Caenorhabditis elegans: one gene and its partner. The protein of the gene in region 2 interacts with the protein of the main gene of each other region in a pairwise test. Each region holds a gene or a part of one and is shown on either strand. Other genes may lie near its edges. The genes, in order: sir-2.1 and ftt-2.

Region 1 (5,232 bases), on a different chromosome or scaffold from region 2:
ACAATTATAACTCATGGTGGATGGAGTAGTATTTTAGAGACAACAATGCATTCGAAACCAATGATTTTAATGCCATTATTTGCTGATCATGCGAAGAATTCAAAAGTTGCAGAATCTAAAGGAGTTGCTGTTTTATTGGATAAAATGAGATTGAGTCGACGAAGAGTTGTCCATGCAATTTACACGATTTTGACCAATCCAAAGTAAGATTTTTGCTTTCACTTTAAAATACTCAGACTGGTCCCAAATACCAAGATACCACAAAACTACAACGAAATGAATGCATTAAATTTGAAAAAATATTGATGATTTTAGCGATTTTTGAACTTTCTAATCTCATTATTCTATCAAAAATTGGAAACAGGAGTCAAAACCAAACAAATTGCGGCACGGAGAAATGGGCGTGGTTTTTTTTTAAACCAGTCTGAGTATTACAAAGTTTGTTTAAAGTTAAATTAACATTGACGGTATTCCAATTTTAAATATTCTAATGCTAATAATGTACTTCGATCAACTAATGTTGTTTCAGATATACCCAAAATTGCGAAAAATTCTCCCGAATGTTTTCTGATACTCCAATTCCACACGAAGAACTTATTGAATGGAGGATTCGACAAGCAGCTAAGCCATCAAGAAAAGCTTTTGCAAAACATCTTCGACCCAAAGAGCCCGATTTTTCATATTTAAAACTTGGTTTTCTCATTATTCCAGCCATGATACTCTACGCAAAACATGGATTTTCAATATGGACATAATAGAATGAAATTTTTTAATTTTATTTTGATGTTTGCAAAGAATTGAAAAACAATTTAAAGTTTTAAAAGTTTAAACACACAATAACAGATGAAAACGCGTTTTTCAATGGGATTTGGTGTAAAATTGAGAACACAAGAGAAGGAAAATTGAAATTTTTTAACATGAGATTCAGATACGCATTTCTTCACACAAATGCGAGAATGTTTCAGGATCAATCGTTTCAGATAGTTCATACTGAAAATCTCCATCACATGAATCGGCTCGTTGCAAGTCCAGATGTATCGTGTTTTTTCGATCCTGTAATTAATAATTTATAGATAGGTTTTCGCGGAAATGGCAGAAGTAGTGTTTAAAATTTCAAAAACTGTTCTGCAGCTTTACATTTTCAATTTTTCTTTGACACTTTTAAGAGCACCTCAAGAAAGTTTTTATGATGAACTAACCTCGTCAGATAGTACAAAGTCATCTAGCGATTGTGCTCTAGATAATTGATTTGCTTCTGAATCGGCATTTGATGAGCAAGACGAACCACACGAACTTTCGCAATGTGTCTCGTGATGAACATCACGAACCAGTTTCAATGTTTCTAGATCAAATGAGCATTCGGCTCCAGGAAAGACGGTTTGATGAGCAGAAATCTGAAGAAAAAATTATTAATTGTAAACTGGTAGGGTTGTTTAGAAATATTTTCTAACTTTTAACTTTTTAATTTTCAAAACCACTCACCGCGACACACTTATTGTCATGGAGCATCTCAGTAATGCTCAGCAGCCTTGGATGCTTTATTTTCTTGAGAATATCGTCCGAATTCCGTGTATCATCGTCATCTTCTGACTTATGTTTTTGTATTTCTTGGAAATTATTCTTCTCGGAATCCATCGAATCGTCAGCCACCGACATTCTTGGTTTCTTCAATGTTGGCTCATCACTCGAATCATCATTTCTTTTCTCTTTCATACAAATATTCAAAAAGTCTTCCTGTGAAATCAACTGTCGTTTGTTTTGTGAAGGCTTTTGTGATTTCGTTTTTCCTTGTTGTTCCATAATCGAATCATAAGATGTAATCAGTTCAGTGAAGGAGCCTCCAAGACTGAAACAGATATCTCTGATGATGTCATCACAATTTCCGAGCAATTCAATATCTGCATTATAATGTGGGAGGGATTCTCTGTTGATTAGAATTTGTGGAACATTCTTATCAACACAATGTGGAATTAATGCAACTGGTCGAACTTTGAGAGAAGATCCAATAACTACAATGAGATCTACTTTATGCTTGTCTTCTGTAACATGTTGATGAAATTCTCTTCCGAGATCCTCTCCAAAGAATACAATATTCGGTTTGATCACTCCTTCGCAACGTTTGCAATGGGCAACACGCATAGCAAGAACTTCCTCACGAATCTCATTCCCATCATATTTTTGTCCACAACGTGTACATGTACATTTCGAAAAGGATCCATGACATTCCACAACTCTTTTAATTCCAGTCTGATGCTCTAATGTATCGATATTTTGAGTGTAATTTCGAAGAAGACGACCAGAAGTTTCAAGCTCTTTGATAAATCGATGTGATACAGATGGTACGAACTGTCCTGGGAAGATTTCCTGAAATATTTAATTTTTTTTTGGATATTGAAATTTTTGAGACAGCGTCGCTGCAGCGAGTTCAATTGGGATTTACTAGAGAAATGGAACGTTAGAGGAGAATAGAGTTTGTGGGGTTTTCTTTTAAAATTAAATAGAACTGTCTCGAAACAAACAAATATCATAAATAATGAGACTTCTCAAAAAAGTTCGAACAAATTTTTCTGGCGGCTGAGAATATCGAAAAGAGAGAGCCAAATTTTGCTAAAATTTAAAATTTCGCCAATTTCAGATTTTAGCAAAATGTGGCTCCTTTTTTCCGATATTCTGGCCCGCCATAAAGTGTTCGAAAATTTTTTGAAAAGTCTCATTGTGAAAAAAAATCGGGCTAATTTTGGTATATTTAAGCAAAAATTGGCAAACTAAACTTATTGATCTTATTAGCTTAAACACAGTAAAAGGAAAAATAACCTACTCTCGCAAAATTGTAGAACGGAGCAGGATTTTCTCGGAAGTAACGAATATCGAACATTGCTGTCGGATCAGGAAGATCGGGAAACTCGCTCCGAAGTCGTGCATAAATACCATCTTTACTTCGAAAATCTGGAATTCCACAGGATACTGACACTCCAGCGCCAGTCAACACAAGAATATGTTTCTTTGTTTTAAATAGTTCGACTGCATCTGCTAGTGAGTTGTAGTTTGTGAGTTTCTGCCTTACAGGAGCACGTTCTAGAAGATCGCTTAATATGGCGAAATGCTGAAAATTGGTTTTTTTTTCAGGAAATTGTCAATTTTAATTTTTTTTTTAAGTACCGCGTTCTCTGACATTGTTGCAATTCGTGATGCATTAAAATCAGGAAAAATTTGTTGAATAATTTGTAATGGAGTGGCACCATCATCAAGAAGTCTTTGAGCACGACGAAGATTCGACATCATTTCGTCCTGAAAAATATTAATTTAGAAACATTTTAATCTCCTTGGGAATTTATCTTCATTTTTTGGCGAAAACTCACATTATTTTGCCAAGACTCTGAACTGACACTGGTTGTACTTTCTGTTCTTTGTCTACTCGAATCTGTGTTTGTTTCGGGTGCATCGGAAATATCTGTTTCTTGTGTAATGTGCATAGAACCGATTTCTGGATTTTCCTCCGTTATTTCTTGCTGAAACATTTTACGTTAGGTTGTTAGTAAGGAAATTTTAAAAAAATCTAATAAATTAACTCACCACTTCCCCGTGTGTGACCGCAACTTCTGAATCGTTGCCACTATCACGTGACATCGTTTATCGATATGATTAATTTTATTAAAAGTAGACCAGAACTGAATACGAAAATCAATTCAAAAGTGAACCAACTGCGTCAACGGGAGATACCAAATGCGCGTCAACAAACGCTGCATGGCGCAAACTGCCGTCTTCATGAATGCAGAGTAAAACATGGTTTATTATGAGGGAAAAATGTAGAATTTTAACTAAAATGAGATCCTAGCTGGTAAAACATTGAATTGATTCAATAAGACAAATAGGATGAGAAAGATAACAAAAACACAGCAAACAATAAGGCACTAAATCAAGGACTAGTCTATATTAACAATTTCAATCTTTTATTTTTGACTTCTTGATTCCAATGCTTTTCTTCCATCGTGGTTTTTGACAAGTGCATCCATTTTTCGCCACCATTCAGCAATTTTTTCTTCTAAAATAACTTCTTTGAACGCTGAGCATCCATAGAAAGAATTCATAGCTCCATATAATGACTGAAAATATATCAGATTGTAAATCCTTCTCCAAAAAATCAAACCAACCAGATCAGCTAGATTCGGTTCATCTCCTCCTAAAAACTGTCTATTTGGTCCAATTGCTGCCATCCAGTCACGACAAGCCTTTCTCAATTCTTCTCGTTCATCATTGATGTTGTGCCTTTAATATCAGAAATCATGATATAAACTTCTAACTAACTTACTTTTTCTTCAATGTTTTTGAAAGTAAAAACATTGCTGCTGCACCCACGTATACCGCTAGAACTCTCTCCCAGGCTGGAAAAGTACGATGCCAGTCGCCAACTTGTTCGAACCAACGGAATGTCTCGACAGACTCATTCCAATTACGATATACATTAGGAGAAATAAGATGGATGAACCAATTGTCCACCCATTCTCTCCATTCCCGCTCTTCTCTGGCAGAAGCCATATTTGCGTCCCCGTCTACTTTTCCCTTCATAACGAAGAATTTGTTAGGGTAGTTGAGAACCTGAATCAGCAAGGATGTTTTAAAATTGCAGAGTAATTCAAAAACCCACTGGCTTTCCTTTCTCGTTTGTTGAATCAACTGCTGGATACATTTGTATTATCTGGTCGAGTGACTGATCGGGTCTTTGAAGATATGTTGCCAATGTGGAAATAATCAAAGTAGACTCGGTCATAGTTGTCTCGCCACTCCTGAGAATTGGAACCTGAAAGAAAATAGATAAAACAACCGGAAATGTGAATGAAAACTTACTTTTTTATAAGTTGTGCTAAACTTGATCTGTGATCTAGTGACTGGATTTACTTCTACAACCTCATAGGAGAATCCGTGATAATCTAAGAAGGCTCGAACCTGTATTTTTGATTAATAGTTTTCATACTTCACACAAGAGTAACGCACCTTGCAACAGAACGGGCAAGTCTCGTATTGATACAATCGGAGCTTCAAGTTTGACTTATCCAGGTGATTAATAACTTTTCGACTGAGGAGGACATCATTCTGCACTTTCTCGGGTTGCTGAACTTGAATTGGGCATGTTCTGAGTTTTGCTGTTTGGATATCGTCCAGCTTTGATCCTCCCCACGAGAATCCAGCCAAAGAAGCAATCTGGACTGTCCGTACACCAAAAAAACGCATCTG
Region 2 (4,314 bases):
ATTACCAGTGTACCAATTACCACTCCTTATATTATCGGCTGTAAAAACCCCAATTTTTTGGTTGTTAGCTGGCGCCGCCACCTGGCGTTGCAAATGAAACCTACCCGTCCAAATAAGTAGTTTTCAAGTATGTCACTAACCAAAATTTTGCTATATCTGTAAAGCCAATTTAACTAGAAATAAACCTATGAAAGTGTCATGTACCGGAGATTTAATCCAGGACTCCACCTTTTCTTATTCCTCAATGAATATGAACATTAAATTCTAGTTTTCATCTTTGTTCATATCTATAATAAATGAAATAAATTTTGAATTGAACCTTAGCAAGTGCCTAAGACGTAGTAGTTATCTTGGTTAAGGAAGAACAACCTGCAATAACAAGATGTCGCTAAAAGAAAACGTTCGTTTCAGTTTTCTTTTCTCATTCGAACTTTGTTCAATTGCACTAATTTTTATACATTTGGATGTCAATCGGAATCCTCCCCTCTTAATATTTCTTCGACGTGATTATCTGCGTTAATTTCTCATATTGAAGTTGGTGTTACAACTTTATTATGTGTATTCAAAAGCTTGGGGGTGTTTCGAATGTCGAGATTTGAAAGGGGGAAAAGCCGTAACAAAACGGAACATTGAATTGTATGGGTAGAGACGGGAAGTTTTGATGAGTGGGCTCAGCACAGAAATTTGAATAACTTCTGCATTTGGTTGATGGGAAAAGGGGAGTGATTGATGAATTTATAGAAAAAAATGGAAAGAAAAACGATGGTTTAACTAGTCAATGGTAATAAATAAATCATATGACAAATAGTATTATTTATCATTTTCAAGATCGAGGTGAGGGGTGTGTGGCGGTAACGTGTCGGTGTGAAGGAGTTAGTTGCCTCCCTCTGTCTCGTTGGCATCAGTGTCATCGGTGGCAGCGTCCGAGGTCCAGAGAGTCAAGTTGTCACGGAGAAGCTGCATGATGAGGGTAGAGTCCTTGTATGAGTCCTCGTTGAGGGTGTCGAGCTCAGCGATGGCGTCATCGAAAGCCTGAAAGATTAAAGGTAATCAATAGCTTTGAAGTTACGATGCTATGTCAAAAACTTAACGAGCACCTGCTTGGAAAGCTGGCATGCTCTATCCGGGCTTGCTGCTACTTCATAAAAAAACACCGAATAATTGAGTGCAAGACCAAGGCGAACACAGTTCGTTGGTGACAGATCTTTATTTGCAATTTCAAGTGCCTCCGCGTAAGCCGTTTGTCCAATGTTGGCTACTGCTAAAATAAAATAAAAACATTAACACACCTGCTTGGCAAGCTGGCAAGCCTTGTCCGGGGCGTTCAAGATCTCATAGAAGAAGACAGAGAAGTTGAGAGCAAGTCCCAGGCGGATTGGGTGAGTTGGTTGCATCTTATCCTTGGCAATGTCGAACGCCTCTTGGTAGCTTTGCTGCGACTTCTCGACAACCGCTGCAAAGAAGGAATATTCATTTCTGGTCTTCTTTGAAACGAGTATGACTATGAGAGGCAGAACTCCCTAGAGGAGAACCCCCAATGAGCTGCCCTAGAGTTTATTTTCAAAAACTACGCATCGATGTGGAATTGGGTCGCGCCTGAACTCCCGTTCTCTGTCTTCCCTATGATATCTTTCCACACTTCACACAAGGATGCATAGCTTACGAATGAGGGTTAGAAACGAGTGCACGGTTATGTCCCAATTACAGTCATCATTTTCAATCACTTACAGTTTCTGTCGTCTCCGGAGGCGACCTCAGCGAGGTAACGGTAGTAGTCTCCCTTCATCTTGAGGTAGAAGACCTTGGACTCGGCGGCTCCAGCCTTTGGAATGAGGAACTTGTCGAGCAAGTTGAGAACGTCTTGGCAGATGTCGCGGAGCTCCTTCTCAACCTTCTCACGGTATTCCTTGGCCATTTGTTGCTTCTTCTCAGATCCTTCGGTCTTCTGCTCAATTGAAGAGATGACTCTCCATGAAGAACGACGGGCTCCGACGACGTTCTTGTAGGCAACGGAGAGAAGATTGCGCTCCTCGTTGGAGAGCTCAGCTCCCAGCTCGGTGACCTTCTTCATGGATGCGGCCATGTCGTCGTAACGCTCAGCCTGAAATTAAAGTTTTAGTATTCAAGAACATCCTGAGACATCTACATACCTGCTCGGCAAGCTTGGCGCGGTTCACGAGCTCTTCCTTTCCGTCAGACATAGTTGATTTAGTTGCTTGAAGTGGATGAGTCACTGAAAAACGAGAATATAAAGAGTTTGATACAAAAAGGTCAAATGAGAAAGAGAAGAAAGAGGGCGGTAAACAAATGAAGATTGTTTGAAGAAAGCAAAGAATGGCTCCTTTCCGTATTCTTATATGATATGAAACTGATGGGACATTTTCATCTCTTCTAACACGAGGCGTATGAGCCCTTGTAGAAGTATACACAATGCATCAAGAAGAAACGAGAAGGACGTTGTCGAGCGAGTAATGTTGAACAGAGTGAGCGGCACCCCTCCCAGCCCTCCCTCTCGTTTTCTGTGCGTCTCTCCCTATCTGCCGAAAGGAGCGCGCACCATCATTTTAGGGTCTGTAAAAACCATTCAAACTGCGAATTTCAGAATAAAAATTATATATTCTGAGAGGGGAAAGTCTGTTTCATCAGCTAAAGTGAAGAAAATATAAGTTTTGATATCTGTGTTTAAAAAGAGCCGTTTGGCGCGCTACAAACACACAATTGCGGAGTGATTCGAGGGGGCTGCCAACAGAAAACCGCCGCCTCCTACGACTCATAAAGGGTCTCTTTCGCAATGTGTCAACAAGAGCGCGCACCACATTTCTTCTTTGAAGGAAGTCAACATAATTTCAGATATATTAGATGAAAATTAGATATTCGGGTTCGTCTTTTTCCGGGCTTTTAGTTGACTAGAAACTCGGCCTAAAATCTTGAACTTTGAATATTTTTGTGCAGAAAATAGGACGAAAACATCGGACATGCGGAGGCTTCTAGGGGGCTGCCTTTTGCCCACCCACCAGGCGCTCGGTCGTCATTTGAAGTCGCTCTGTTATTCAAATAGAAAGAGCGCTCACCATAACTCTTTGGGCCATAATTTACCTTCAAATTATCTTGAGTAATGTATGGTCTGAAAATTTGAAAATGTGACTACAGAAGCTTGCCGTTTTCAAAGTTAAATGATGATTCTTGCATGTTCCTGGATGTTTCTGGAAACTTGGAGCAAATTCAAACAATGCGGCAGCGCTTTGGGGGCTACTTTGACGACCGCTGCAGACTTGTTCTAAATCAATGACCAGCGGCGGTGGGCTCGGAGGCTCGGAGCTGATGCGGTTGGCTCTCGCTTCACAACAGCCTAGGATCGAATATGCAGGGCGCGTAAACATGCAGGCAAAACAGGCTGATAATCGTGTTACTTAACTTGAAAGTGCCTGGTATTTGCCTTAAATTACAAAGGAGATTCAGAAAAATAATTAGCATGATAAATTTACAATTCTAAACTACATATAAGGCCAGGTTCTATTCATTCTTTTCATTAATTCATATGTAGAATTTTACAAAAATGTTTATTACAATAGTATCTGTAATTTTTCCTGATGTTTCTGAAACTGTAACTGGTATTTTGTACAAACATCCATATCAATTAGAATTGGTGTCGCGGAACACATCCGACTGTTGTTTGATCTTCATTTTTGTTGTCTTCACTTCCGATTTTCGAGGAAGTACATGTACATCTTCATTCTTCCTATCCCGAAACCTTTCAAACCCCATTCTATCAAAACAGAATTAGGAACAACAGATGCGTGGTGTGGTGCGCAACTATACAGAGACCTTCAACGCAATTTACGTCTTATCTATTCCACATCTTCTTTCACCGTGCAGTGAGGTATACTCTTACTCATCAATGAGAACTGTTGTCTTACGGGAAAGATTCAAAAACCAGTGAACCCACCTTCAATTTGAAAAATACGTTTCTAAATATATTTATTCGCATTTCTCAGACTGCCCCAATTACCAAAATGGGCTTTTCATTTTTGGCCATTTCAGGATTAGCGGCCGACGGAGCAGTGAAGTCGTGGGAACCTATTAGATGTTTGGTCAAGGTTGTGCCCAGACTCCAAATTGTTTTGAACAAGGCACCACCTGCTGGTCATTTTTCAAATGTTCTTTCTTTCTGAAGGTCCTCTGAGAGATGGAAGGATGTTTGTAGTTTTCTTTATTACGACCACTTTACAATTCAATTCGGGGGAAGCATTTAATTTAAAATTCTTCTCTATGTGTGTGTGTGTGTGCAGATTTCAACTTTCTTTACAACTTGGC

What was found.
Region 1: the proteins of ftt-2 (region 2) and sir-2.1 interact in binary tests that used the Caenorhabditis elegans proteins (3 or more experiments, as listed by UniProt).

The regions. Positions count from the first base shown.
Region 1 is NC_003282.8:10,362,562-10,367,793, forward strand, and holds sir-2.1 (NAD-dependent protein deacetylase sir-2.1), read right to left. Parts: upstream 3,669-5,232; 5' UTR 3,628-3,668; coding exon 3,574-3,627; intron 3,510-3,573; coding exon 3,360-3,509; intron 3,289-3,359; coding exon 3,160-3,288; intron 3,104-3,159; coding exon 2,819-3,103; intron 2,365-2,818; coding exon 1,483-2,364; intron 1,395-1,482; coding exon 1,200-1,394; intron 1,054-1,199; coding exon 925-1,053; 3' UTR 757-924; downstream 1-756. Other genes in the region: ugt-59 (glucuronosyltransferase), read left to right, coding at 1-203, 530-755; pges-2 (Prostaglandin E synthase 2), read right to left, coding at 3,951-4,103, 4,152-4,266, 4,310-4,596, 4,646-4,798, 4,846-4,944, 4,993-5,229. UniProt on the Caenorhabditis elegans protein: NAD-dependent deacetylase. Involved in metabolism, apoptosis, response to oxidative stress, response to DNA damage, and determination of lifespan.
Region 2 is NC_003284.9:11,603,180-11,607,493, forward strand, and holds ftt-2 (14-3-3 domain-containing protein), read right to left. Parts: upstream 2,241-4,314; 5' UTR 2,202-2,240; coding exon 2,151-2,201; intron 2,102-2,150; coding exon 1,729-2,101; intron 1,454-1,728; coding exon of another isoform or gene 1,290-1,453; intron 1,262-1,289; coding exon 1,098-1,261; intron 1,033-1,097; coding exon 874-1,032; 3' UTR 529-873; downstream 1-528. UniProt on the Caenorhabditis elegans protein: Required for extension of lifespan by sir-2.1. Required to modulate lifespan, in concert with hcf-1, acting redundantly with 14-3-3-like protein par-5. Promotes nuclear export of yap-1.